Linked DNA regions of Drosophila melanogaster. Changing the gene in region 2 together with the main gene of any one other region gives a genetic interaction. Each region holds a gene or a part of one and is shown on either strand. Other genes may lie near its edges.

Evidence for each region.
Region 1: of LIMK1 (region 2) and RhoGAP18B, changing one suppresses a phenotype caused by changing the other (phenotypic suppression), as found in Drosophila melanogaster (one study listed by BioGRID).
Region 3: of LIMK1 (region 2) and sick, changing one suppresses a phenotype caused by changing the other (phenotypic suppression), as found in Drosophila melanogaster (one study listed by BioGRID).
Region 4: of LIMK1 (region 2) and SCAR, changing one enhances a phenotype caused by changing the other (phenotypic enhancement), as found in Drosophila melanogaster (one study listed by BioGRID).

What each region holds. Positions count from the first base shown.
Region 1 is NC_004354.4:19,154,413-19,161,227, forward strand, and holds the start of RhoGAP18B (Rho GTPase activating protein at 18B), read right to left. Parts: upstream 3,790-6,815; 5' UTR 3,708-3,789; intron 590-3,707; 5' UTR 542-589; coding exon 1-541.
Region 2 is NC_004354.4:12,588,444-12,595,154, forward strand, and holds the start of LIMK1 (LIM domain kinase 1), read right to left. Parts: upstream 3,751-6,711; 5' UTR 3,488-3,750; intron 2,042-3,487; 5' UTR 2,006-2,041; coding exon 1,398-2,005; intron 1,241-1,397; exon of another isoform or gene 1,140-1,240; coding exon of another isoform or gene 1,081-1,139; intron 906-1,080; exon of another isoform or gene 879-905; coding exon 813-878; intron 725-812; coding exon 1-724. Other genes in the region: CG1824 (uncharacterized protein), read right to left, coding at 4,257-4,505, 4,564-5,169, 5,433-6,449, 6,525-6,711. UniProt on the Drosophila melanogaster protein: Protein kinase which regulates actin filament dynamics. Phosphorylates and inactivates the actin binding/depolymerizing factor tsr/cofilin, thereby stabilizing the actin cytoskeleton.
Region 3 is NT_033779.5:19,823,760-19,830,456, reverse strand, and holds the start of sick (sickie), read right to left. Parts: upstream 3,984-6,697; 5' UTR 3,184-3,983; coding exon 1,579-3,183; intron 1-1,578.
Region 4 is NT_033779.5:10,972,947-10,982,771, reverse strand, and holds SCAR (SCAR), read right to left. Parts: upstream 6,001-9,825; 5' UTR 5,702-6,000; intron 4,875-5,701; 5' UTR 4,811-4,874; coding exon 4,066-4,810; intron 3,893-4,065; coding exon 3,791-3,892; intron 3,140-3,790; coding exon 3,059-3,139; intron 2,328-3,058; coding exon 1,660-2,327; intron 1,594-1,659; coding exon 1,344-1,593; intron 1,286-1,343; coding exon 1,107-1,285; coding exon of another isoform or gene 1,050-1,106; 3' UTR 377-1,049; downstream 1-376. Other genes in the region: piwi (P-element induced wimpy testis), read left to right, coding at 1-114; ATPsynG (ATP synthase, subunit G), read left to right, coding at 6,482-6,521, 6,611-6,870; abo (abnormal oocyte), read left to right, coding at 7,560-8,504, 8,562-9,236; CG16743 (uncharacterized protein), read right to left, coding at 9,542-9,825.

The DNA.
Region 1 (6,815 bases), 6.6 Mb from region 2:
ATATCCTGCGCTGCAGCGACGACGAACGGTTCAGCTGCTTAAGAGAGCCAAAGAGACGGGTCAAGGTCGCCGCACTGGACTTGGAGTAGCCCAAGAGCGACCGCGACTTGACCTTGGTGGGTGGTGTGGGCGGTGTGGTTGGTGTGGACGGTGCGGGCGCTTTGGCTGGCGTCTCTGACCTTTGACACCGGCACCGCTCGTTGTCGCTATAAATGCCGCGGCACAAATCGCAGATGTTCTCATAGATGTTGCTGCTCTCGCCGGAAATCGTCGAAAGGGGCGGTGGCGGTGGGGGAGGCGGTGTACTCACCACGCCCCCGCTCACGATGCACTGGCAGAAATGGCAGTAGCGTCCTTGGGCGGCAAACACGCCGTAGCCGCAACCCCGACAAAGATTCTCGTAGATCGCCTCGCGCGGAAAATACTTGCGCAGCTCCGCATTCAGGTGACCTTTGGGGGTGGAGGTCAGGCCCGGCAGATTCTCGTAGATGTGCGCCTCCATGCCGACGTTATCGTTAATGTCCTTCGCCTGCTGTGGCATCTCTCTTCTTTATTTCTTCTTCTGCCTCCCTACTTTCTCTTATCGCCGCTGCGTCACATCGTAATTCATTATTAAGTGAGAAAATAATCGCCGAGCGGGGCAATTGGAGAGATAGTAAGTGAGAGCACTGTCATCGAGAGAATTTCGTGCACCGCAAAAGAAATGTCGCGAAGGTATTTAATTAACATAAATTCGATTTGGAAATGCTCGAATGGCTCTTCTTAAATTTCTCACTCGAGTGAATTGAATAACTTGTAATCTTCGATTACTCACTATTATTTTTTGAGAAACACCCCAAAAACGACCTTAGTTCTCGCAGTGTAATCACTGAGAAAAGTCAATGGGCTTGAACTCTTTAAGTGATGCCACTACCCTCATTTTCTTTCTTTCTGTCTCTTTCCCTCCCGCTTCCGACTGCAATCAGCGATATTCATTATCTCAGCCAAAGTCGCTGCACTCTGCACTCAGTTTTCCTCCAAACCATCGGCTTTGCCTTCAAAACACAATTCTTTGGCTTGACTTTTTTTAAATCTGGGAATTTAAAGGATGAATTTTTCGAATCTAATTGCAAACAGCTTTTAATAATATGACCCTGTTATCGTGAATTTCTTTACCATTTCTTCTAATATTTACATATATTAGCTATTTTGATAAAATATTATTGGAACCCATTGCTGTATTCAATATATGTGTAACTAGACCCAATATCTCTGTATATTTCACGCCCAAAAAGATCCAGAGCACTTATCACTAATCAGTTTAGAGCTCTAAAATGAATTGTTTGTTTGCCCTAAAACATTTGATGCTTAAATGCAAATAATGTTTAAAGTAAAAAAAACCCCAATGCATTTCATCTGACTAGAATTCCACAGTGCTGCTTCTGCTTTTGAGCTTTGTTTTTCGTTGATATACGGAGATGAGTCACTAACCGATCCACCAAACCATGTCGGTCCTCTCGTAACCCCCGTCCTTATCCCTCGGACTCAAAATGATGGCCATGACTGGGTGAAGAGAGCGGAGAGGGGCGAGAAACCCCAGAGAAAACCCCGGAGAAACAGAAACAGGTTGGCGGCCAGTCGAGAATTGTGTAACGATCGTCGACTTCCTCACCTACGCCTCACAGGTGCCGCCAGGTAGATGGAATGTGGAACATGGTGTGTGGAATATGGAATGTGCTCAGTTCACACTGGCAAAAAATAGTAGCCACTGATTTTGGGAATTTAAAATATTACAAGAATTCTACAATTCCTTCTTACTGAAAAACCAAAACGGAAATATGCAAAATTTCATTTTACATATATTAATATATGTATATTCTATCTTTTTTTTTCAAGTGCACAGTTATCCCGAACGGAAGGCGAGAGTGAGCCTAATGGAGTTAAGGTGCCAAGAAACGAGGGTCCGTGCATTAATCTTTCGATCGGCGTAAGTGGGGAAATCATGTTTATCTCGATGGTAGATCTTGAAATCTTCTTCGGGGGCTTCGTATTATTCGTAATTCTTTGATCTAGGATCGCCGCCATTAATCATAATCGGCTTGGGGCGGAAAGGGGAAACCGGTTAGGGGTTTTAGGTGCTTAAAACATGTTTCGCATTCTCCAACACCACCAATTGTTGTTACAGCGTCATTTAAATAAAACTGATTCAAATCCAGTCGAGAGTAGCCTACCACCATATTTCAAAATACAACAGATTTGGATCGTTAGGTACCACAAATGTTGGTTGGTTGGTAGGTAAAAGCGTTTTCACGGTGTTGTTAATCATACTTTGGTCTAGAATCAGGGTCAATGGTCAATGGTTGTCTTGTTTGCTTGGACAATAACCTGTATTATTAATTTTCAATTCTTTATAATCATGTTTGGGTTGTCCTTTAAAAGATAATTTTACAGAACATTCTATAAGATATTCATTTCTCTGATAAAAAACACACAAATTATACAGAAACCGAATTTATTTAAATAGAAAATCTTGATTAATTACTTGCGTGATATATTAACAATCCGAGAAATAATTTAACAAAGAGCCATACACTTAATTGTTCCAAACTATTTGAATTTTAATAGCAAACAAAAGGCTTGTGGAATTCTTCATAACTGATTGACTGTGTTTTCACTAATATAATTGTTGTGGTCTCATTAGGAGCATTTCTCTGAACTAATTAGCTTTCTACAAAATAAACAATTCTTAAATTGAATCCCTAGGGTCTGAAGGTTCTGAAGCATAGTTATTAATAAATAAGTGAATAAACTATTTAGAAGCCTGACATCACTGGGCTTGTTGTTCATTTTGGAAATTTTGAAAGTATATATTTCAAATCCTTCATGACTTAAGAAATGCTTGCGATTCACTTTAAAGTGTTAAAATTTCATTAATAAAATGTTTTTATGTACTGATACGAATCACCAAAATGCAGCAATAGCATAGAAAAAATATATTGATACCGAATTCATATACTTTTTTAAAAATTTTCATTCAGAAAATCCGTTTCGTTATAAATAGCTATAAAAATAGCTGTAGCACAACCAATTGAATATTATATTTTTTAATATGATTATGATATATATTTTGTTGAACCCAATTAACTAAGTTTAACTTCAAACACTGGCAAAATACACAGTTTATAGTTTGATTCCTCAAATACAAAAAAAACAAAACCGCAAAACTTTGGTTTTTCGGGCGCCTTGGTGATAAACTTGCATACTTTTGGGCATTCGATCGAGACCTTCTTGACCCCGTCAATAAAACCTGTCCAAATTGTGCAGCCCCCAAGGAGACAGCAATGCAATCAGTGTGGATTGTGGGTAATCCGCTGATTTGCCTATGCCGATGATTCATCGCCGTTCATTTTCAGATGGCGCGACAAATGAATAAATGACGATGAATGCCATTGTAAAAGCAATATACTGTAATTCACAAGAAACACATGAGCACACACACCCATATTATGGGCGAAAGGAAGGAACAAATAAAACGGGATTGGTCCCGTTATCTCGCAGCGCTTATCTCACTTTCTCTCCAATTTCCCCAAATGCACTGTTTTATTATTAAAACTATTGTAGATCGATCGAGGCACTTGGTGGGCTTCAATACCGAAACCCGAGCACCAAAACAAAAAGCACCGATTTTGGCCAGCACTGATAAGCCGAGCTTTAAATGGGAGCATTACGAAATTGGGCTTGAGGTGGGGCTCTCCATCAAATCGGGAGCTGCAGGCGCGACGCGTTCGCGAATTTAACAGAATATCAACTGAAATTGAACTCAAGATGCCGCCGAGAATTTTCTTGGGTGGCGGTCCGCCTCGTAAGCGATTGACGTCGCAGTCGCCGCGCAGTCGCAGTCGCAGTCGCAGTCGACGCCACGAGTCGGTGGCGGTGGCTATGGCTATGGCGATGCCGACCTCCGGTCACCCAGGGAACTCGAGCACTCCACACTAGTCAGCAAAAGTGGGCACTAACCCCCAAAGCCCGCAACAAAATTTTGTTGCTTCCGATGAAAAAGCAAGTTGGGAATTATAAGCGGGTAATTTCAAATATTTCAGATATTCAAATGAAATATAATACATATATTACAGGATATATCAGTATTTTTAAAAACTATAAATGCTAACTATATATGCCAGCCTTACAAAATTATATCATCAATAAGTTTCTTTAGAATAAAACTTTTTAAATTAATATAAGATTCAATAGAAATTCTTGCCTTGTCTAATACATTTCTTACAGTTATTTACTTTTATAGGCAAAGTCTATGGATCATTATTATGACCATGACTATGGACCATTATGAGCTGTGATTCATCATCGGTGAAACTATGACTCATGTCAACCGAGCTTGAAACTATCCTTCGTACCCATGTCATGCTGACCAGTGTGGGCCAGAGATCAGTGATGGGGAGGCAAAAGCCCAGAACAGAACAGAACAGCGCAGAGCAGAACAAACCTAAAACTGAACTGAAACCGAACCACATGTGTGTAATGGAACATGGGCAACATGTGTGGCTCTGTCTGGCTGTGCGCCACCACATTCACGAATGTGCGTGTGTGTGTAAGGGTTGGGGGTGGCATGGGCTAATGAGGGGGTGAGAGGGTAAGGGTGGGGCGTGGCAGCGACAAAAGACGCTTTTTATACTCAACGCCCGTTGCCTAATTAAGCATATCGAGTGCGGTCCCTGAAGGAGGGTGGTAAAGGGGGGGGGGGTGCTGTCGAGGGTTGGGAGTTTGTTTTTCAGTTCGGCTGAGTTGGGAGTAGGGGGTGCAAAAAAAGGGGGGGGCTGGGGTCGGTTCTGGGACCGCAGAGGGGGCGGTGCTGGGCGGGTGGATCGAGCTGTGTAAGTAACCATGATGAATGCTAAACACTGTTCAATTTATGCACAACAGTTGCGTAAACCGATTACGATATGCATATACATATGTACATACATACTTTTGCTCAACACTTTATTGCAAGCAATTCCGATATGAAAATGAGAACTGCACTTTCAGCACGAACCGTAAGCTCTCTTATTTCTTATTGAATTTTGAAACCAATCCTCATAATCCTGTTCCTCATAATACTGCTCGCAATCATGTTTTGAAGATCCATATAGTACACGACCGATATTTACAAAAATCGGAATCCATATAAAACAGAACCGGGAGCAAATAGAGAAAGAAAAGATGAGGATGCATCTTTGGGGAAAAAACAACAATTCCGGGGAAGAGACTTAAAAAATAGGCGAATGAGAGTGAGACTGAGAATGAAAATAAAAATAAAAATGAAAATGAAAATAAAAATGAAAATGAGCAGAGGCCGGCGAAGAATCGCATTGCAGCCGATGTTCAGCAATATGGTCGCTTGATCTTTGAACTAAATTAATTAAGCACAATGAACACAATTGTTGTTGTTGGCTTCGCTGCCGACGGCATCAAATGTATCCACCAGATACGAATACAAATACAAATACAGATGCGGATACAAAACAACAAATACGCACACATACCGAAATAAAGAAATGCATTCAGGCTGTGACCAACATTGCATTCAACTGTTTGCTATCGGCTACCCTACATACATACATATGTACTTTTATGTATGTATGTGTATATGCAGGAATATACCAATAAATCATAGGGTTTTCTAGGGTTGACTAAGTGTGGGATTTACACTATAGATTTAATATCTATCTTAAAGCACGCCACCACATATGAGTTTTAAGTGCATAAATTGAAACCCAAATATATTTAATATATATTTATTCGGCTAATAAATTATGAATTATATCTCGGAGTAGGGCATTTAACATTCGCAGTGCTTGGTAAATTAATTCCTGAAGAACATATTTCTCATGTTTTCGCTTTCAGTTTCCATCTTTTTTTTTTTTTTTTGCCCCGACTCATATTTGGTTTGGCTTTTCTGCGGGTTCCTCGGCCGCCTTCTTTTCCCGAAAAAAAAAAACAAACGAAGAATTAAAAGGGGTGGCCCACGGCTCATGGCCCGTGGATGATGGTTGATGGCTGATGGCCCTGTCCAAGTCCCGTCCATGTCCCAACCAAATCCACAGCCCCGTCCCCACTCACATCCACATCCACATCCCTGTCCAGAACCAGACTCGCGTCTTTGGCAGCATTATGTTTCCGTCGGTAATGAGTTGGCAGCGACTGCAACTCAGTGTTGTCGAGATCCGACAGTAAAAACCCGATGGATTCGAGTAACAAGTGCATTTCAATATTTCAATGTGTATATAATAAGCCTCAATATGCAGTTATGATAAGCGGAGAGATTCTATACAATTTTATCTAATCTTAAATGTGTAGTATATCCTAAATGTATAATAATATCTAATAGTGTGCATAAATAAAGTGTATTTTAATAATAATTTTAATTTTTAATATTTTCAGTTGGTTTCTGAAAATGCAGAAAACTTCATTCTCAAATAATTTGCAAAAGATTAAAAAAAAATGCTATTTCTTGACTAGCAATTAAATAGTTGGAATGGCAACTCTATTTCTGCGTTGAATGTTGCATGTGGCTGTATTGGTGTTTACTCCCCCTCCCCCAATACATGCATCCTCTTCACCCCCCTCTCCACTGAGTTCACTTTATGATTATTATTGTTGGACGGCGGTCTTCTCCTTTTTTAATGAATTTTATTAAGCGCGACAGCAGCAGCAACAGATAGATCGAGTTGAAAAGAGGGGAGTGGGGAGTGGCTGTGTGTAAGTGTGTGTGTGTGTGTGTGTGCTGGGTGACCGAAGCCAGCAGCTTTTGTCAACGCCTCAAAAGTAAAGTAAAGAGC
Region 2 (6,711 bases):
GTACAGAACACCAATGAATTTGAGCACATGCCGATGGTCCAGCAAACGGAGAACGGCCACTTCCTTGATGAAATTCCTTTGCGCTTCCTCATCCGCACGATGCAGTTCTTTGAGGACCATCACCTCGCCGCTCTGACGGTGGGTCACCTTGAAAACCTTGCCAAAGAAGCCCTCGCCTAGCTTCTCTCCTATAACCAGATCAGTTGCACGAAAGATTCGTTGTGGCTTTTGGACGACACGGCAGGATTGCGTCCTGGACAGATCATAGAGCTGAGGATGCGCCGAATGCTGTTGTGCCTGATGCTGTTCATCCAGCAACTTGGACAGACTGGAACAACGCTCCTTCTCCTTTAGTTGCGTCATTGCGGTGGCTCCAGCTGCCGGTGGTATTGTCGTAGAGGCATTGGTGGCTTGTCGCAGTTTCCTGGCCTTCGTGCCCTGTTCGCCGGGTGTCTTGTACAGACGCTCCCTGCCCACCTCGACACTGGAGGCCGATGTGCTGAGCGGCAGGATTAACGTGGACGCTGACATGGCCCGCTGGATGTCCGCTTGGCTGCAGGAGCGGCACACTTGCACCGGATCATGCTCCACGGTCAGCTGAAGCATCTTCTCATTACTCCGTATCAATTTGTCGATCTGTTCCACGGACGAATCACTAACTGGTGTGCCGTTCACCTCCAATATCCTATCTCCAATATGCAGATTTGTAAGATTCACATCAATTCTGGATAATAGGAAATAAATCAATAATTAGCAAAGTGTTACTACTAGCTTAGTTGTTGCTTTTAATTCAACTCAGGCACATTTGTTACCTATAAGGCGCCCCACAGCACTGTTCCGCCATCGAGGTTAGCCACAAGAAGAAGTTACAGAACAAGCTATTTTTTTTTTTTGGGCAAGCATGTATTAGGGAAATGCAGAAAGAGTCGAAGGACGAACGCCCAGCGAAATTAGTTGGCAATTAGGACTAGACCTAGTTAGCTAATGTGCAAACTTTAACAAATGGCAACCAAAAGTGAGTCAGATTGAAGCAATAAATTATATACAATCAAATAATAGTTATCATTTCACAATACGTACTTCGTAGATTTGAGCCATGGTAAAATTTTTTTCAGTACAAAATGTAACCAAAAAGACATTCTTCTTTAAATTCATATAAAAAAAATGTTGTGACTTGTGTGTAAAAAGTGAGAAGACGGCTTGGTTTGTATAACATATGTACATTAAACGCAAAGGCAACTTAGAAGTTCAAAAAAGAGTACAATCTGATCTTTGAAAAAGATCTTAAAAAAAACAACAAGAAACAAATGTAACAATAAAGTTAATAAATAATGCAAATGCATGCATCTCAATGAGTTCATTGATGTAAATTATAGTAATTTCAGTTAATTTCTTACTCTGTAATGCGGACCGTGGGACAACCATCGTCGAGGGCCACTCCGTCGACCCTCAGGCCGGGCGTGGCGTCCTTGGGTATCTCGACCAGACGGATGGAGTGCATCGGCTTGCCGGCCGTTGTGATCCGCGCCTTCGCATCCGCCGGCTGGCAGGAACGTTTGCCATAGCACTGGCCACAATAGAGCTTCGAACGCTCGACAAGGGCGTACGATTCGCCCTCGCCGATGAAGGAGCCGCATGCCGTGCAGCAGAAGCACTCCGGATGGAATTTGTGCTCGCCGGCGACCATTACGGGTCCGGTGATAACGGCCATACACTGCTGACAGGCATCGCCGAATCGGCCGTAGTAATCCTCACGACAGTACAGTAAGCCCTCCCGTTCGAAGTACCAGTTATGCAGATGGCCCTCGCAAACGGAGCAGCGAAAGCAATCGCAGTGCCATTGCTGGCCGAGAGCCATCACGATTGGCTCCTCTGGATGTGGCAGTAGTTGACCCCGACAATGGGCGCACAATGGTGAGTGTCCTCCGGACACAGGTCCTGATCCTGCGCCCAATCCAGTGCCTCCTCGTCCGCCATTTGCCCGCAGGCGCTGCTGATGATGCATGGAATGTTTTTGTGCCTTGGCCCGATCACGTTAGCACTGTGGGTAAAGAGCAGGGGGGCGGGAGGTTAAAAAAAAGGTATTAGTCGATGACGGAATAGGTATTAAATATAGTAAATATAGACCAGCAGTCACGGAACTTGGCCAATTATCGTCAACAGGTCGATATGAACCAGTGGAAACTAAGCAAATATCATATAGGCAATGTAGGTCTATAAATAAGCTATCTTTACCCATTATCATTAACGTTGAGAAAAAAGATATCTACAATGATATCATACATGAAATGCATTTATTATCAACTAATATAGTATTATATTAGTTTTTCTAACTGATTTAAGTGTTAATGATAGGAAGGTTTGGCATTTTTCAAAACCAATTGCATTCAAAACTCTCCGTGATTTTTTATGATATACTGGGACAGCAATTCGAACTTTATTGCTAAAGCGATAGCCATGTAAATATTTTTGCGTACTAAACAAAATGACCGAACAAAACAAAATAATTGAGTCCGGTAGTCATTAGTTTAGGGTTCAGTGATAAAGACTTCGATCCTGAGTCAGCTGCCCCCCATCGGAATTCGCTATACCGCCTGATTTCCATCATCGATTTGCATGCATAATCCATGGATATATGCATATGGACATACATATGTATATGCAAATACACATGAATGTTTGTGTATTTATGGATATAGCTCAACATTGACCGTGAAAACTCCGGTTGATGCAACAACAAACGCGACTCTTTGGATCAACTGCAATCGCAATTGCACTTCAGCTGAGCTAACTGTAGTTGTTGTGCACGTCCCTCTTCCGACCGCATAAACATGACCAATGAATGACGAATGCACACGCACACACTTGCACGCGCGCACAGTGGTCACATGTGAGCCGTGCGTTAAGTGCAGTCCAAGCTCCATTAGGGGTTAATGTGCCTTTAATCACCTGCTTAACCCATTGAACTTTTACTTTAACCAACCATATCACAGTGCTGTGATTTTGCTTTGAAGAGATTGGAAATGAGTGGGTGTGCCACCCTGACTGAAGTCTATAAAATAGCCAAGACAAGCTAGGTTTACGAATGGAACGAATGGTAAAAAATCAAGTAAGTTTGAGTATTTGTCGCACTAGTCCCGCTAGAAACTAATTCCGTTTAATCAACTATGGTTATCATAACTTGCGGTCCAATTTTTGTTAATTAAGTCAATTAATTCACTCAGGCAATTTGCATATTTTTGGACTCCAAAATTCAGGAATGTGTCCACTGTGCGGAGGCAGAAGCACACACACACACGCGTACAGGTGCTGCACACACACACACACACACACACATGCACGCGCTGTTAGAAAATGTGTGTGGGGGAACGGGAACAACACGACATTAGCAAAGCCAATAGCAACAACAACTGGTTTTTTACTTAGATTTTATTGTTTTTTGCTGGACTTGTACACTAAACTAAACCAAACACACACACACACTTACATAATTGTTCGTTTGTATTGCTATTGACTTGACGCACATTGCACATTTGTTGGTTTTTCCTCGCCAATTTCTTATTCGACTGTAATTCCCGCCAAGCAATTATTAATCGCAACTACCGAAATGCCGCGGATTTTGTTTAAATGCCGACGCGACGCACAGCTCGCTAACTCAAACAATAAAAAAGAAATGCATAATAAACAAAACAACAACAAAACTACACAAAATAAAATACAATTCAGCCAGTGTGACCGTAGGACTGTCATTAAAGAATCTCAAAACTATCGTCTAGCTGCCAATCAACTTAAAAAATATATAAACTCTTTAATGAACAAATTTTTTATTATAAACACGCTGCTTGTCACTAACAAGAAATATTGAACAGAATTGAATATTGAAATAGTTTTTCTTTAATCTTCGAGTGACCGTATATGAGTATGGTTGTAGAAATAATGCGGTCCCATTGAATATATTATTTAACGGAAATTGGGATTTCAAGTGTTTTATATTCAGTTTTTCAAACTTTAATTTAAGTTCACGCATCCCATCTATTTTTAATGAACCCGGTGAATTTAGCGATAATGACAATGAAATACTTTCTGTTTATAACAAAAACAATACTGTCTTCAGCGTTTATTTTATTGTATACTTATTGTTAGCGTCTCTCACCATTTTTGTTTTTGGTCAGTTGAAAACAAAAAAAAAAGTGAAAACATTATAAGAATATTAAATTAAGTGTATAGGGAATCATTCAATTTGCCTAACATCGTCACTATCCTTGCGCTGCGTTTGCCCTGCCACCGAAGCTGCTGCTCCCCACTGTCACTGTTGCTGCGGAAGTTTCTGCGGCAGTTGCAATTGTTGCGGCTGTTGAAGTTTCTGTTGCAGTTGCCTGCTGCTCCTTGACGGCCACAACGTCCTCCACCGCCTGGACTTGCTCCTGGATGTCCCGTCGTTCCTGCTGACGCACCAGCTCAAAGTACAGGCCCCGCTTGCCCATCAGTTCGTCATGTTTGCCGGTCTAAAACAAGGGAAAATATAAATATTTCTGAAGATACCAATGGTCTAGGACAACTCACCTCCACGACGCGTCCCTGATCAAGGACGACAATGAGGTCAGCGTTTCGTATCGTGGACAAGCGATGGGCAATCACCAGAGTGGTGCGATTCTGGACCACTGTATCGAGTGCCTTCTGCACTTCCGCCTCGCTGGTGGCGTCCAAGGCACTCGTCGCCTCGTCGAGGATGAGGATGCGCGGATTCTTGAGCAGCGCCCGTGCAATGGCGATGCGTTGCCGCTGACCGCCGCTCAACTGGGTGCCCCGTTCGCCCACATGCGTCGCATATCCATCGGGCAGGGCGGTCACAAAGTCGTGCGATTGTGATAGACGCGCTGCCGCATACACATCCTCCTCGCCCGCATCTGGTTTACCATATCGGATGTTCTCCAATATCGATGTGCCAAACAGCACCGGCTGCTGTTCGATGAAACCGAGGACATTGGACCGCAGCCAATAGGGCGATATGTCCGACAGCTTGTAGCCGTCCAGTTTGATATTGCCCGCCGATGGTTCGTAGAAGCGTTCCACCAGCGACGCTATCGTCGACTTGCCCGATCCACTGGCTCCCACCAGGGCCACCGTCTGGCCCGGGCGGAGCGTCAGGCTAAAGTCCTTGAGCACCAGCTGTGAATGAAGCAAAAATTGACATAGGAAGTTCATTACTGTTTGCATTGCCTAGACTCTAATCTTTTTATCACTTAGCCGTAAATATTGGCCATAAATGTTTGTGGGTATTATAAAATGGTTATCTACTTGCGGAAGCGATAAGAAGTTATTCAATATTATATAAAAAAGTGGCGAGTTTACAAATTACAGAGCATCGATTAATGTAAATATGCCATCATTGTCTCGAGAATGAAATGAAGATATACTTTAATACAACTCACATGATCGGGTTGCATGGGATATGCGAATGAGACGTTCTCGAATCGAATCTCGCCGTGCAGCCGCTCCTGCGGGATGATGTAGCCGCGCAGCAATTCCACCTGTGGCTGCAGCGATAGGAACTCGAAGACTCGACTGCCGGCCGACATGCCTCTGATCATGGTGCCCAGCAGGATGGATCCCTGGGCAAGGGATCGCTGCACACCCTGCGAAGCGACCAGGAAGGCCATCAGAGCACCCGGCGACAGACTCTCCGTAGACATGAGGTGGCCGCCCATAAAGAGCGTAGATAGGACTAGTGTATTGAGGAAGAAGTTGGTCAGGCCCTGGAAGATTGCGATGCCGTAGCCGAGTTTCTGCGCCAGGCGAGCCGCCTCATTGGTCTCCGCCTCGAACAGCTGCATCTCGCGGTATTCACAGGCACTGGATCTAACCGTTCGGATGTTGGACAGCGCCTCCTCGCAGACACCCGTCGCTCGTTCCGCCTGCGCCTGTGAGCTTTTGCTTAGAGAGCGCAGTTTCTTGCCCAAATACGTCATGAACATAACCACGCACGGAACGCTGGCCAGCGCAATGGCGGCCATGTGCGGTGAAATCATGAAGAGCGATATACTGCCGCCAATCAGCTGGGCAGCACTTCGCAGTCCCTGGGAGACGAACTGCTTGAACGAGGTCTTGAAGTCCTGTACATCGGCGGTTAGTCGATTGACCAGCTCGCCCGTTCGATTCTCATCGAAGAATGCGATGTCCTGGACGACAATCTGCGTGAACAGATCCTGCCGCATCTTGGCTGCCATCTGCTCACCGACGCGGCTCAACAGGTAGATGTACATAAAGGTGAAACCAGATTGCAGCATGTATAGGCTCAGCAGATTGCTGGCCGGTTTGCTCACGTCCTTTACGAACGAGTTGTTAATCGGATCCATCACGTACGTGTTGGCATATCTGGCCAGTGTGTTTACCAGGTCACCGAGAAGATTTGGGATGCGTATGTTGATATAAGCCACTATCAGGGCGGCCTGCAAATGAAATTAGCTAAATATTTTGACAAATGCTACACCTGTTCGTGGGCTTTTTGTGATCCAAGAACTCACGCATACGGCCCCGATCAGCTCCCAGAGATGTGGCTCCAAGTAGGTCCACAAACGCTTCCAGTCGAAGTGCTGCTCCGACGCAGTGTCCTCCTCCTCCTCCTCCTTTCGAATGGCCAGCCGGCTGCCTTCGCAATGAACGATCGCTCCGCGATGCCCCGCCCACCAGGAACGGGCGCCCAGACCGATA
Region 3 (6,697 bases), on a different chromosome or scaffold from region 2:
TGCCGCAGGACCTCGCCCCATCATCCCTCGACCTTTCTTCGTGGAAACCTTCATTTGCAGCTCACCCGGCCTGCTATCCATCCATCCAGCCAGCCAGGAACTAACCAACCACCACGGCCCACAAGGATATGAAAAGCAATGCACTTGACACTTTGCCGGCCACTTCAGCTGGGCCAAAAAGTGTGCTTCACTTGATGTCCTGTCGGCGTTTCATTAGATGCTTCTGATGGCAAAAAACTGCCCCAAGAGATTCTTTGGCTGCTGTAATTCCTTGTTTTTTTTTTTTTGGGGGGGAGCATGCCTCAAAGCAAAAATGTACAGCGCGTATTTCAATTTGCAAATGATGGGAAATGCCTGTGGCACGGAAAATTGGGAAGGGCGAATAGCTTATGTGGGCCAGTAGGGGTGTAAGTACACACACTTTCAACTCGGCACCATGGCAACAATTTTAATTCAATTCCATTAAAAGTCGCTAAGATTGAACATACATTCGCAGCTGGTGTGTGTTTTTGTTGTTTCCTTCTGGGTTTTGCTTTTCTCTTCTCTTGCAACCTGTCCCTCACTTGGGCACACAATCAAACTAATGTTTGGCGGTAGGGAAAACTAATGAAGCGAGCAGTGAAAACGCGACGATTGATTGCTCCCCCGAGGCAACGAGGAAAACAAGAGCGAAGAGCGAAGGGCGGGGGAAAATGGGAAAGCCAGATGCAATCCAGCAGGAACTGCTCTCAAAAGCCCTCGATTTTGGGAATCATCTGCAGTGCACTGCCTCCAAACTGCAATTCCGTGACTCGTTCTTCTCTTTTTTTGATAATTTATACTCGAGGACTCGGCCGTTGGGGGTGACATTTGTTCATCGCCTTTGCGGGTGGGTTTTTCCGAAAATGGTCCTTCGAGGGGTAAGCCAACACCTCCCCTGGGGTGTTTGAAGATGCATAATAAGACTTGTTAAGTTGCTCGCTCGTTAAGATAAGTGAGCCGGCAAATGGCGACAAGTGCGACTACGGAAACAGCCCGCAATGATTACCGGCTTAAGATATGCGAAATTATCCATATAGATAAGATGCTGCGTGGGGTTCCTTCCAATGGTTAATGCGGCGATTCACATTACGGTAAGAGGATTATGTAGGAAATGTATGAAACCTAGCCACATGCACTGCAATATTGAGAGGGTCATAAGAGCTTCACCAAAATAAGCCATTTGCTGGTGAGCCCCACCGAGCTGAACATTATTGTGGCACTTTTCGGGCTGCATCTTAGCATTAAAACCCAGATTTGCATAGGTAATAATAAAGTTCCCTTTTGTCAGGACAAGCCATCAAAGCTAACAAAGATAAATGATTTGTATTTTTTGGGAAAAGGTTTTCTTTCTTCTTGAAAGTCTTCGAAAAATGTCTGGATAAAAATTGAATTTTACTTTGTAAGCTGAAGCACAAAAGTTCTGTTTAAAATAAGAAGTGGTTTAGGTTTTCGGTTTTTTTCTCCATTAACCTAACAGATGCTTCTATTAAGCTTCTTCTTTTTGTATGTCATGGTGATATTTTATATATTTATATCATTAAATATTCACAGACTTACCTCCATATATCCCTGAACACTGTCGCACTGCTGAAGCACCAAAATGGCCGGATTCGCACGCATTTCTTCGGGGGAGCAGGGCGATAGGAAACCACTATCCGCATCGCTGTGGGTTGATAGAGGTCGTGGTTTGCGTATCTTGTACTGGACATGTCGACTAGGCACTGGGCCCGGGTTGAAGAGCACATAGTTGGACTCCGTTGGAACCGTGTGCGAACGCTGATCCTTTCGCTGTTGCTGCAACAACTGTTGCAGGTGCAACATGTGATCCGTGCTGACCAGCTCGGAAATGGCACGTTGCTGCTCAGAAGTATTTTTGTCGATAGACTTTTTGCCACTGCGAAAGGGCGAAAGATTCAGAAATGTCAGCTTTTTCTTCATCGATTGCTGGGCGGGATTGGCCAGGGAACAGCTGCCCGCGGAACTTGCTGAGTTCGTTGAGGTGGATGATTCTACGAGGGCCGTGGATGTGGTCTCCGTATCTTTGGACTCCTGGCTGTTCGACATGCTGGCAGTGTTCTCCAGTTCGTTGAAGAGCTTCTCCAGGTTCTGTTGCTCCAACTTGGCATTCACCAGCTGCTCGTTGGTATAGGGATTAGGTATGCCGATGTCCATGGGAAAGTTCGCTGGGTCTATAATAAAGTAGTTGTGGTGATCAAAACTAGACATGGTCTCTGAATTTTTGGCAGTCGGTTCTGCTTCTGATTCCGCTTCTGGCATAGCTGAAGTCTCTATGATAATAGTCTCCTCCAACTCGAGCTCCTCGTTATCGTATATTACTTCTGGCACCAGTTCATCTTCATCCTCGCAGACCAAGTGCTGTCTTGAGCTGAAAAGGGGATCCCTCAATCCGTGGGCTTGAGTACTGGGATATCTCATGGCTTTCTCGTTGATAAAGTCCACGGGATCAAAGAGACAGTAGTTCTCCATGTGCGAGGTGGCAGCCTTGCGCTGTCTCACTGGTAGATTCCTTAGCTTTTCGGAGTAATCCGCCACATCTTCATTATTATTGGCTGATTCTGGAGCTGGAGGAGGCGGGGATATCTCCTGACTGATGGGCCTTTCCTCCTGCTGCTGCAGCGACTTCTGTGAGCCCCTATGAAGGGTGGCAAACAGGCCACGAGCTATGCAGTTCTTCAGCTCACTCACACGTCCTTTGTAGGGACTCGACTGGGCACTGCTGCTCAGGATCGAGGATTCGTCGATTCCCAGCTGCTTGCTGAGCTCCTTGCGCTCCTTCTTGCTGAGCACCACCTTGCCACGACTGGGCGTATTGGGGGCCGAGTGGAGCAGCCTCGATGGCATTTGGGAGAGGGGCGGTGGTGTGGGAGGCAGCGGATCCCTGTACGGTGGTGGACCCACCAAACAGGTGGCATAGCTAACTGGTAAGTCCGGATAGGCCGTACTCTGCGCCGATGCCGTGGGATCCGTGGCAAGGAACTCCAGTTCCATGTAGTTGGGATGTGGCAACATCTTCGGTTGATTCTGATGATGATTGTCCGTTCTTTGGCTCTTGGGCTTGGCGCCCAGTTGGTTCTCCTCATTCGCATTGCGATCGGGCTTGGTTGAGGAACCCGGACGCAGTTTTCCTGCCTGACTGGACATTTCTAGGGTTTCACTGCAGCTTCCATGGGCTCAGCACTTTTCACTCACACACTCACTCACAAATTTTGTATACATTTTTTCGCCGCTTGGGCCAAATTAATGGCTTTATAAATCTTCATCTTTATGGAGGGCAAAAACGCGTTAATGGGTTTTCTAGTCTTTCGACCAAAAAAAATAAGGTCCTTTTTCCATGTCCTCTCTCTCTCTCTCTCTACTATCTCTGTTTACATTTGTGTTTGTAATTGGATTTTTTAGCTGATGCATGTCAAAGTTAAATTAAAACTGACCCAGCTGGTCGGGGGAAAAAAAAGAGTTATACGTTTCTAGGTTGTTTTTGCGGGCAAAGAGTCATAGTCATGGTCATGGTTACGCCGTGGTTTCGTCTGCTTTTGAAGTGTTCCAGAATGCCGCCGAAACAATGCCAAAGTCGAGCTTTTTATAATTTGTCTACAAAGCAATTAACAGGAAGCCAACGCTGCAGGGATTGCGATAAATGGTGAACAATAATACAATTAAAGTACTGCACATGCGGTTTTAACTTGAATTTGTGCATTGAAGCCGCAGAGGTGGATACATATATATTTGCAACTTAAATGCTTTAAATTGAAAAAACCGAAAAGCATTCACATACATTTTTCTTCAGCTTCCGGCAAACAGCACAGGTATTATTTTGTTCGTGCAATTTTCGAATAAAAGCGATTGTGCGATAGAAGCTGGAAGGGAAATTCAATACGAAAATGCATATCAAGTGCTCGCTAGAGTTTCACATTTGATTAAGTTTCATTTCTCCTTCAGTTTCCCCCCGGTCGCAAAAATGCAGACATAACGGAGATATCAATAACAAATTGACAGCAAATGGATCCATGAATTTATTAAGTGGAAAGCGAAGTGAACAAAGGAATGGTTCATCACTCACGTACAGGTATCTTTTCCATTACACTTGCTGAGATTCGTAGAGTAAATGTGAGTAATCCAAATAGATATAACAAATAATGAACAATGCCAAAGAACAGCATGTTCGCCAAATCGAGATTATCCCAGCATTGTTTCCACTCGGAAAACCAGCAATGAACTTTTAATTTCCTTTATTTCAGCCCACTCACAAAACAAAACTATGACGAACATTTTTCGCCAGGCCAACGTGGCAACAACTGAGAGGAAACCGAAATGGAAAAAGTTTTATTGGCAACAAATTGAAAACCGCCTGGCCATTTGAGTCAGTGAACCAACAAGTTGCATAATTGTTGGCGCATGATAGAATTAAACGCCTCGCAATGAGCCGATGTTCCAATGGCTCCTCTTCTTCTTCCTCTTCATCCTGCTACTTCCGTTTCCGGAAATGGCAGGCTGCAGGTGGCAGAGGCGAAAGAAGTTACTCCAGTTAAGTGGAGTTTCTCTGCCGGTGTCTGTGCCTGCGTCCCATAAAGTATACTGAAAGTAATTTGCAATTAAAATGTTAATTTTTAATTGAATTGCAGATGGCAGTAGGCAATGGCAGTAGTCTCGAATACTGAATCAAGTTAATTAGTGTCAAAGTAGGCAGCTGAAAAGGGGAGGGCTGTTGGGCAGCACTCAAGCCCAAGGTTGATTTATCCAGATTAGCAAAGTATGCTAATGAAATGGTGATAAATGCAAATAATATAAAATTCCAGTTTGACTTACTTCCCAGATTAAATGCAATTGGTAATCCATCTTCTAGGAACAACACAGTTTTTCTTTACATCACCATTACGATTGTAGTTAAAGAAGCAGAAATGTTAAAATCTATTCTACAAATGTGCTCTAATCAGTTGAATCTATACTTTTATAACTGGGCAGTACACGTATTAAATGTTTAACTCCTATAAGGCCACACAATCCTTGTCTGCGTCCATTCCCCTGGGCTTAAAATCCCCCTGAAAGCCACGTGGATAGTGGCTCTCTACTCCAGCATCACCTAATCCCTGACACTTTCAGTTTCCATGACGATTCCGTGAAATGGGGACGAAATGGGGGCAAAAAGGAAAAAAATGAAAGGACCCCGAAGAGAAAGGCAGAAGGCAGGACTTAAAGTTAAACACTTTTGCTTTGAGGTTGAAGTTGCTCGCACTTCATCTGCCTTTGCTTCCAGCTGGCAGCAGTCAAAGTTGACAAAATACTTGTCAAGATTTGCGCATTGAGTTGAGTCCTCCTCTTCCAACTTGTAATTGCAGTTTTGCCGTGGTCTCTTTCAGCTCTGCAGCTCTGAAAAAAAGAACAGATTTCCACCCACTGGGAAAACCCGACGTTTTGCCGGAGGCCATCAAGCCGCAAACTTTACGAGTTGATAGCTGAAATAAAGTGGAGCATGCATTCCGTGCCTTTTAGCCCGCCCACCCACTTCATGACATCATTTTATTTGCACTCAATCTGAGTTCTTTTAGCGCCGCTTTCTGCGCCCAACACGCTGTGCAAACTTCGCTGGCAAGTTGGTTAGAAATGCTTTTGATTTGCTAGTGAGTTGACCAGAATCCCAGCCCCTCGACTCGCTTTCCACACAAAAGCCCACTTTTGAAAAGTGCACGCTTTTCTTTCCATCCTTCAGTTGCTCTTATTGCACCAAAAAGCCCAACCAGAACCCAAAACGTTATTCAAACAAAGAAGAGAAGTATAAGTATGCTGAGGTTTGCCAGAAAAAACTCATAAGTACGCCTTTTGTGTGACTTCTAGATACTCTATCCACTAGATTTCATTTGAAAATTGCATCAAAACAAATATATTTGGCGAAAATTCTAACAAACATTGAGAGAATTTTAAAGGGTAGGTATAAATTCATATAATTCAGTAAATTCTTGGCCAAACTCCATATGGAAATTTTAAATTACAGGGCATAAATAAAGTGCAAAGGCCGTACCGAAAAAAGTAAAAAGGGAATAAAAAGAGCCAACTACAATGCGTATGACAGTTTGAAACACTTCTAAGGACTTTTGAGTTGCGCCGCAAGTTGGGGCGTGGTAGGCGTGGCAAAGGACCACAAAAACAACGCACAACTTCCGCTCCAGCTTGAGGGCACAAAAAAATATGTATAAAACTAAATCAGAATCTATGTGCAATTCAATTAAAGCGCAATTTGCAGGCAGTCATCATATTTTCGTTACTTAACGAGCCAGTTGGTGGATAATGAAGAGCGCGAAGGGTGTGGGGCAATTTAATAAGACCCATCGGGTGGGGCAAAACGGAAATCGCTTGAGGAAATTGTGTGTTTCAAGCAAAAGCATACATAATAAACTCATATAAAAGATTGTTGCACACTTCGGGGAGCAACTGGAAGCGGAAAGCAGGAGCGGAGGTATAAATACCCGTATTTGCAATCCGAAGAAGTGGAAGTGGATGGAAAGAGTCGGAAGAGGGATTCTGGAGACAGGCGAATGTATCCCTAGGCGGACAACGGCGAACACGAGGAAAAGCGGAAAAGCAGCGGGGACCGCGTCGAATGTTATTAAAAAAAGGAAAGCAGAGCAACGCTAAAACAGCAAACCCCCCCTGCCGCCCTCCA
Region 4 (9,825 bases), on a different chromosome or scaffold from region 2:
ACCACACGAGTGCCAGCAGTTTGCCAGTACGCTAAGAAGCTAGCTACCCTCGTGGGTACGAACTTGCACTCTATTCCGCAAAACGCGCTCGAAAAGAAGTTTTATTATCTATAATTGGATATAATTTAGAATGGAGTATTAATCCTTACTAAGAGGCCATATATGAAACTAGCCCAGACATTTATACTTTTTCAATACTTTCTTACTTTTGCTAAGCACTTCAGCATTTATGACTAAATATTTTGTATTTGAAATGCATTACTGCTCTTTTTTCAAACAAAAGCAAAATTGAGGATTAAGATTCTGGTATTTAAGCATAAGACCAGAGGAAATTCCCAAACAAACATTTAAAGTTATCTATCAAGACATGTTCATTAATTTGGAATATAATTACTTTATTTTTTATTGTATATTTTAGTTTATGTAAAGAAAAATTACATACATCCATGTTTGCTTACTTAACCACACATTCATGGCTGCTTATATTCGTGAAACATATTTTATTAATTATACAGGTATTTAACTTTCACAAGGATAATACAATTTCATAGCTTGTTGAGTATACTGAAATGCTACGGAGTTCGATATATTTTAATGTGTTTGTATTTACAAAATTCTAAATTTTCATTTTGGATAAATGTTTTATATTAATCGTATCGATTGCAAGTTGGGGTAGGATTGAGTTCAGTGATAATATCGATTATTTATAATTTAATATCCAAACACCGACTACTATGATACAGAAGCCCATATCTACTCAGACCTTGACTCCAAAGAAGCGAACAAAATTAGCAAGTCTTTTAAATCGCTTTCCTTGGATTGTCGTCTAGGCTTAAAATGCAAATGCGTTCGTTCACTATAGCGATTAATTTAACGATAATTACTCGTTGGTGTATATACAATTCAATGAAACTTTTGATTTTAGACATATTATTTAGGATTAGGTGTATATTGTATAAAGGGTGGTAGAAAAGCTTTGGTGCTTTTGTGTAATCCAATTTCATACCACGCTTGGTTTCGACCATCGTATGGATTAATTCTCTTTGGAATTACTTCTTCTTTTTGTTTTTTAGAATTATGTCAGGCTTTAACGAGTTAATCAGGGATCAAGCCGATGTTTCGTTCGGTTCCATCCAGCCCTCGCTGTCGTCTTCGCTATCCGAATCCTCGGACTCGGATAATTCGATAGCCACACGTCTGGCCAAGATTGAAGCCACATCCAATGGCGCCGCGTTTCGTTCAATTTCCTTTTGCTCTGACTTTTCAACTTTACGTAGAGTAATACCTGGAAAGATTAATTTGATGATATTTTTGCATTCGAACCTTGAATGGCAATTACTTACCATCTCGAATGGCCTTCATCAAGTCGTTGCGTGGGTCATGGAATGGAGGCAGCATCTTCTTGGGTGCGACAATGTGAGGCACACCATTTTGTTGGCCGGGCTGCTGCATTTCGCCATTGGCCAGTGATTTGGGAAGAATTTGATGCGGGCGCAGCGTGTGTTGGTTGCCACTGCCCATGCCTTCCTCGACTGGAGGCGGTGGCGGCGGCGGTGGTGGCGCGGCATTAGGTGGCGACATCTTAGGCGAGTGCTGTAAGGTTTTGCCACAAATTAAACCAAATTGTGATATATTAACACCCATCAGTGAACAACAAACCTGATCTGGAACCGGCGGCGGTGGCGGCAAGTCGCTAAGGGAGTTCAGTTGATTGCCCGTCATACCGATGCTGTGGAAAGTATTGCTCAGTTGCGTCATGACCATATCATTGGCATTCTGGACGCTGTTGGGAGATCCAGCTCCCGACGAACTGTTCGCCCGGCCAAGCAGTTTGGCCGCCATATGCCCGCTGTTGACTCCGTTCATGCCAGACATTGGTGAAATGACGTCTGGAACTGGTGGAGGCGGTGGCAAGGCATCCCGACTGGTCGACATACTTCTGCCCCTTGTCGGAGTGTTGGCATTGGAGGCTGTGGGCGTACCACCACCGCTGCCATTCGATGGCGGAGCCGGTGGCGGCTGCGACGGACGCGGTTTGTTACGCGACGGTGTTCCCGGTCCGTAGATGGGCTCCGGCGACATCACTCCCTGTCCAGTTTGGCCGTACAGCGCATGCGACTGATACATTCCGGCGTCATACATCTGCTGATGCTGCATGTGCATCTGCTGGGGGCCACCCATGCCGTTGCCGAAGGTGGCAGCATACTGATTACCCATCTGCGGTGGAAGCTGCTCGTAGGTGCTACCATCGATCTGCTCCGACTGATAGCTTCGGTTCAATTCGATCGAGTTAGGACGTGGCGGACGTGTATCGTACACTCCCATATCTAGAATAATGAATGTGAGATATTAGAGCCGTTGACTAACCACCCATTAAAATGAACGTTTTTACAGGACACACATCTCATTTAAAAACACGCCAATTATTTTGTAATTACAGCCGAGGAACAATAAGACACATATGTAATTACAAGCAATTCCAAATTTCTGTGCATATGAGACCGCTGGACTCGAATAGAAATTTTGTTGAATATACAAACATCCGATTAAAAGTCTTTGTTAGCTCGTTGCACAGAAAACAATTTAGAGATACTTTCGTAGAATAAGATGTGGCGACAGAAAGGAATTAGTAAAGCTGCAGAGTGACATGTAGACGTAGATATGGAAATTGACTGAACTACAACAGAAAGATAGGAGGATCCTAAACAAAAACTGCGGCTCAATCACGAATCGCGAGTATGAAATGAATTAAAGTATTATGCAAAATGCAAGATGCATTGTAAATATAATGTGCACACACATTACATTAAAATTGCAAGTTAGAAGGTGACTAGTTTACAGTGTTTTGAGATAATAAATCTGCACTTTGCATGACCAATGAAACTCATAAATCATCGCCATTCCGATTGATAGTTTGAAAAAGAGAGTGTTCTCTGTACACACAAATGCTAAAGGAACTCAAAAAGGATTGCTAGTAAGGTAATATGGGGATAGAAGCGAGTGAAAGAACATATATAGTCTTTACTGAGCTTGCTAAAAGTGGATGTGGATGTCTAACCTGCAATCGCAACGGCGGTTTGCTTGGTGACATTACTGTTATTCTCCAAATGCGAAAGCATATTATAAGGCTTTACTGTATCTGTAAATGAGATGGTTATGCGCGATTGATCCATTCGTAATTGCAATGCATATTTATGTTCACGTTCATTAATATCATAACCGAAAACAACGAAAGAGTAGTTCATAAAAACAACATGCAAATAAATAAAAGCTGCGAAAAATAATCGACCATTCGGAGAATGAAATTGTAAGGTTCTCTGACCGTATTGTATTTACCATCAACAAGACGAACTTCATTGGAACAAAGTCAGTGAATTCAAATTAGAGACAAATCAAGTTCGAAAGTCTTGCTAACTTACAGGAGGATGAACTAGACTGGCCATAGACCATTTTGCTAATGGTGTAATAATAATGAATTAGATCGAATATATCCTGTATCTGAGATTTTAATCAAACTTTAGATGGAATTTATGTTAAGTACCATTTCATTTATTTTTTAAGCTCTGGAAACTTTGTTTCGGTCACCTTTCTCTGGGTCATGATTGTGTGGGTTAATTTCAATTAATAGCAACTTCAAAATAATACAAATTAGTGATCTTCGAACTGGGTTTTGAGGCGCATCGAAAACTAGCGAGCTTTTGAGTGAAGTAGGTGAATGAATGGCGGGTACATCTGTATCGTGGGATGTCTGCCGGGCGGAAATGAAAGCTACGTGGCCCCATCATCGTACCTACGTCTTGGATATTACCGACAACTTGGTGGTGCGCATCGAGAGTGCTATGCCGCAAATCGATGTCAGCCTCGCCCACAGTCTGTATTTTGACTAGCTGAACTACACGGGCAGACAGGACATAATTGATAATTAAAATAGATGTACCATTCAATAGGCAAGACAAGTGCAAATAGTCAGTGCGCGAAACGAACGTACCAATAACAGCCTATGAATTTGGTTCGCACTGAATACTTGGCTCACACGGAGACCAATCCCTTTCGCCAAGTACTTACTTCCGTATCCGGCTTCTTCGTTGACCATGGAATTCGGTGTGCGGTAGATGACGTTGTTGGGCATCAATGTTTCGCCGTGCACCAGTGCACGTTGTCGCTGCTGTTCGCGCGTATTGTGCGGCACCCTTATTTTGGTCTTCTGTTTCTTATTGCCACGTCCAGCAGCTCCGCCGGCACCGCCATCCTGCCGCGGTCTGTTCAGCTTCTTGCCCTTGTCGTGCATCACACGTTCGGTATCCTTCAGCATCTCCTGTCGCCACAACTCAAAGAAGTAGTTCGGATCCGTGTAGAACTTAAGACCATCCTTGCCATCGTCTCGATAGACATTAAGCTTGTCGAGGGGCGGCGGTTTGTCGCACTGGGCATATGTGTCCATCATTGGTGCCGGCATGGTGGCGCGCGAGAAGATCTGTTGATCAAAAACCTTGGCCGACTTGAAGGCCTTCTTTCGGGTAATGTCCGTCAAGGGCACCTCCTCAACTGTGCTGTCCAGCTGGGTAACTTTGATAGCTAGGCGATCGATGCGCGCCTGCAGGGAGTTAGCTCGATCCCCGATGTTGCCCACGTCGCGGGCCAGTTCACCGAACACATCCTCTGCGTGCTTGGACAGCGAGGACAGCTGGCGAATGATGTTCGTCAGCGTGGTGTTGGTGACCGTCTCCAGCTCCACGGATTGCAGCTCATCCTGCTGATACACGGAGCGGGCCACATGCACGGGTTCTATGGATCGTTTGGGCAGCGGCATGGTCGGGCGCGATTGACAATTATCTCCAAATTGGCAAACCCGTAAATTAGTGCGTCCTCATCGACTGAAAACGGCATTAATAAGTAATAAATTGTTTTAATACGAATTAATGCATTTAAAATTAATTAAATATAAAACCCTTTATTTACTGATTTACTACATAATCTCATGCCAAATTGGGATCAATAATAAAAAGATTTCTTTTTATGCTGATTATCAATTGAAGACATTTCATTCCGATAAAATTGTACTTCCCAAATTGTCGTTTAACTTTGTTTATAAATTTTCCCGTAAAAGTAGACGTTTAAAAAGTTAATTGGATACTATCAAAATTGGTTTAAAAGAAATTTTGTCATCACTATACTAAACCGTCTATGAACAAGACTCAGAATGGTATTGCAGAAGATTTCACGAGACGCTTATCCATGTATCCATGAGACGTGTTCATTACAATCACCAAAATGCCATTTGAATTGTTTTGTGATATGCGCGACTGACGAACTCGACGTCTGGACCACACCCCACGAAACGATACCCACAGCGAGGTGATAAGGGCGTAACGCCCAAGTCACCCCCGCAAGATGCACCTTGCAGTCCCGGCGAGATTAGTCGATAATGCCCCCCTTTTCGGTGGCAGTTTCTGGGTGCTACGACCTGGGGCCTTTACGTGGGCACCTATTCCATACGTGCATATACGTATATCGTCGGCGGCCTCCCACCAACGCAAATTAGACCGTCACGCACTCACACACACGCATGAACCGCAGCAGCAGCAGCACCCAAGTAAATGTACATACATATGTGTGGGACGGAACGGCTGACTCTTTCAGATTTTCGCACTGAAACATTCGCACTAAATCGCAACAATGCACACACAAAGGTATCTCTCACACTTTCTAATCGTAGTGGCTGCTGCGATTTTGATTTTGGTTTTGAACGGCGCAGCTTAGTTTTACACAGTCCACCTCACTTTACAGCATATCGTACACTCACCGCCCGTCACACTTTTCGTTTGGCGGCTGGCACCACAACAAACATTAAGCAGCCACTTCCGTTTCGGGGGTTCGGTGGCAAATTCGATCCGATGCGAACTCTAATTAGCCAATTTGGGGCTTGAAAACTGCAAATATTTGCTCGTTTTGTGGAAACTAAGATTTCCACACCTTTGCAGTGTGACCGAAGCTTTGTGGTTCGAAAATACTGCAGGGATTCATCATTTCGGAAAATCAGACAAATATACTGCACGATGCGGTGGGGAAAAAGTTATTTTTATATTAAATGTAATATGTATTTTAATTACTATATTTAAATAAATTTTGCAAGGGAATTTTCAGTAACTCATTTCATATTGTTTATTTACTGTATAGAATGAAATATTTTAAATATAAATATATATTCAATTTATTTTATTTTATTTTAACTCTATATTATCCATAATAAGCTATTTTATTAACGTTATTTAAAATTACTGTTTGCAGTTTCTTCCATTAACTTTAGAAATGTATATTTGGTATTTTTGGTATTTATCCGCCGATCGATAACTAGTGCTCCAGCCCTGGCCCCAATGCATAACATCTCTGTTTCGTCGCACACTGAATAGGTAAGTTTTCCGCACATTTCGTTGATTTCCTCTTGTATAATTCCAACTGCTTGCAGAACCAAATTGAAAAGATGGCGAGTTTGGCTACCAAGGGATCAGGACTTGTGAACAGTGAGTGTCGTGAATCGAATGCAATCGAATGGATACACCACCATTGGCGCCTGTCAATCGCAAAATTATGTAATGATCACTTTTTGCAGGGCTCCTCACACAGGCGAGGCCCCAACTGGACGTGTTCCTGAAGTACGCCAAGGTGGAACTGACGCCCCCGACGCCCGCCGATATTCCGGCCATTCGCCAAGGACTGGGCAACATCATCAAGGGAGCCAAGACCGGCGCCTACAAGAACCTCACGGTTCGCGAGGCCTGGCTTAACACCCTGGTGACCGCCGAGGTCATCTTCTGGTTCTACATCGGCGAGTGCATCGGCAAGCGTCACATTGTAGGCTACAATGTCTAAGCTTACTATAGTCTCCGCTTGGCAGTCACTGGAATGGGCAACGTAATCCCTAACAGATGTGTATATTTATATGTCTGCGAACATTTCGACTCTGAATAAAGTGAAATAGTAATTTAAAATTCCGAAAATTTTCGAAAAATACATTGTTTTTTGAAAACCGTTAGAACGTTTGCGCGGGATTTGTGTAAGCTAAAGATGAGGTGATGTAAAACCAAGTTTGGAATTAAAAGTTGACGATATTTAATGATAAAAATTAAAAAAATATATGTAATGTTATACATCAAATGTTTATGAAACGGTGTCGTAATCAAAGAGGCTAATGGTTCAGAAATACATAATATACTTAGAGCATTTAAAAGCACTCAAGAATAATTTTATTTAAAAAAAAAAATAAATAAATCTAAATTTGCTTTTCATAGATAATTCATTTACACATTTTTTTAAACAAAGTAAAGTAAGATGTATTGAATTATTTTATTTATAAATAACGTTTTTTATTTGAATCTTGAAAAGCATTAATATTATTATTATTATACTTATATTTTTTAACAACAAAACTTTTGTAGACAGAGTAAATTTTTGTAATCTAACTGCGGTCACACTTTACTTTAGTTACCTTCCGATCGGAAGAAGAACCCGGCTGACATTAGGAATAGGAACTTGGCAGAACTTTCCCAGGATCTGTCAGAATGGCCTACAAGAAGCGCCTACAATCGCAGAACCTCGTGCATCTGCTGCAGAACCGCGAGTCCGGATACACCAACGTGGGCCAACAGCCGGGCAGGATGCCGCTGTTGGCCTACGAGCGTCTCTTCTACAAGTGCATCACGCCTTGCCTGACAATTGACTCGATTACCATTCCGCCGATCTACCTGCGCAAGTTTACGCCGGATGGCAGAAAACTGTTGGCCTTCTCGCAGGATCAGCGCAGTCTGCTCATATACAGCTACGGGGGTTCTAGTTGTGCGGCGGTGGGTGAACTGATTCGCCAGGCGGATGTAGGCAGTGGCGAGTGCTTCAGTAGCCAGGACACCATACTCAAGAGCAGGATCTTTGAACGCCTGTTTCCCACAAAAGAGACGCTGAATCTATGCCAAGGCGACTTTGGCCTCTACTATCTGCACCGGGAGTTCAGTGTGTTCCTGGAAGAGGGTCGTTATGCCATGCTGGCTGCCATGACCGTTGTGCGCGGCGCACTGCCGGTCGATGACTACGTACGGTACCCAGATCTGTTCGACAAAGTGGACGCCTTCTCGTATGTGTTCTTTCTGGTGGATTTGAAGCTAGGCGTCGTCACAGATAGACTTATCCTGCCTAACGACTCCATCGTCATTGCCCACAATCATGGAATTTCCGTGTTTGGCTCAACAGTGATGATGATGTCCCGGCTGCATCAGTGCGTTTACGTCTATTGGGTGAATGACGGTAAGTTCCACCAGCAGGAGACTATTGGTCCCAGGCCGAGGGACTTTATCGAGAAGGCTACCACAGACTTTGACAATCTTGACGCCACCACAGTTTTGCCCATAACGCACATTAAACAGCGCGTCCTTAGCTTTCTGTACCGTAAAATTAATGATAAAAGTGGCAACCCGACGGAAAGTCAGAAGTCGTTTTATAAAAACTTTGAGTATGTAAGTAACATTATAAAGAGTGACAACGGTCTTCACATCCTTACATATCTCATTTAGATAGAACACATGATCATGGAGAGAATGCATCTGGTGAACAATGAACTTCTAATGTTGCGCTATGAAGAGCGGCCAAATGGTACCGATACCATGCCCATGGCTACATCACCGCGCCGCTTGTATGTATTCTACACCATAACTGGCGAAGAAGTGGTTGGCGTTTATCCGGAATATTCCGTCAACCTGCTGCAAATCTTACTGCAATTCAATGACTACATGAGCAATGATCGATCGCTGCAATTCGGTGATGCACCTTCATTGCCCATGCATTTTTTCCTAAGGCATACCTTTGCGGATTCCAATGAATCGGTCTCCGTCGATCGACATACGGCCTTGCGCTTCAACCCCAGCGTTCCACTCAGCTCCCAGAGCCTTTCCTCGTCGCCCTATCTAAAGTTCAACGAATTTAGATACGACAGTCGGTACGTGTCTCCTCTGGAGCAACCCCATCGCTGCTGCAACGATCCTATTGTGTTTCTTGACCGTGCCACGGATTCAATCAAGTTTAGACTGCACGCTACGGCCCGCCGGCATTTAAATCCTTTGGCGCCACGGGAATTGTGCGCCTTTATTTGGCATCCCTTTGACCCACTAGTGCTCAGTATCCAGAAATGCATGAACAGCTACGTCTACCACGTGCACTTGTATAACCACAGCACAATAGTGGAAAAGTAGACTGCCTAATATGTACATACATGATTTTGTACATTTGTGTATAAAACATATTCAAGTACCTTTTATATTATGAAATATATGTGATACTAAAATATCTCGTTTTACCTTTTCAGTAATGTCTTTATTTACAATGGTAAGAGAACATTTCTTTCTTTTATTTAATCAAAGACTGTGAAAATTGTGAAAATTCCAAGTACTGTTTAAATCTTTAATTCGACTTTGCTACATTGTATTGAAGGCCGACTTGAAACTTGAGGCCCAATCCGACGTTTAAAGTTTCATGTAACATTGTATCTCGACTGCGACTACGTTGAAGATTGGTGGTGACCGTCCTCGTTGTATTCCTTGTTGACCTTAAGGGAATGATTAATAACGCTCGAGCCGCCTGGAGGATAGTTCGGGGCAGGCCCTGATCCCGGGCCGCTGGCAGGCTGCTGTGCCTGAGGCTGATTGGGGATCGCATTTGGGTTGTTAACTGGATTCTGTCCGGGAGCCCCCTGCGGTGGATAGCCGCCTGGATATCCGGACGGGTCGGGTGGATACATTGATGGTGGCGGAGCTTGTTGCGGGTGTGGCGGTGGTGGTGGTG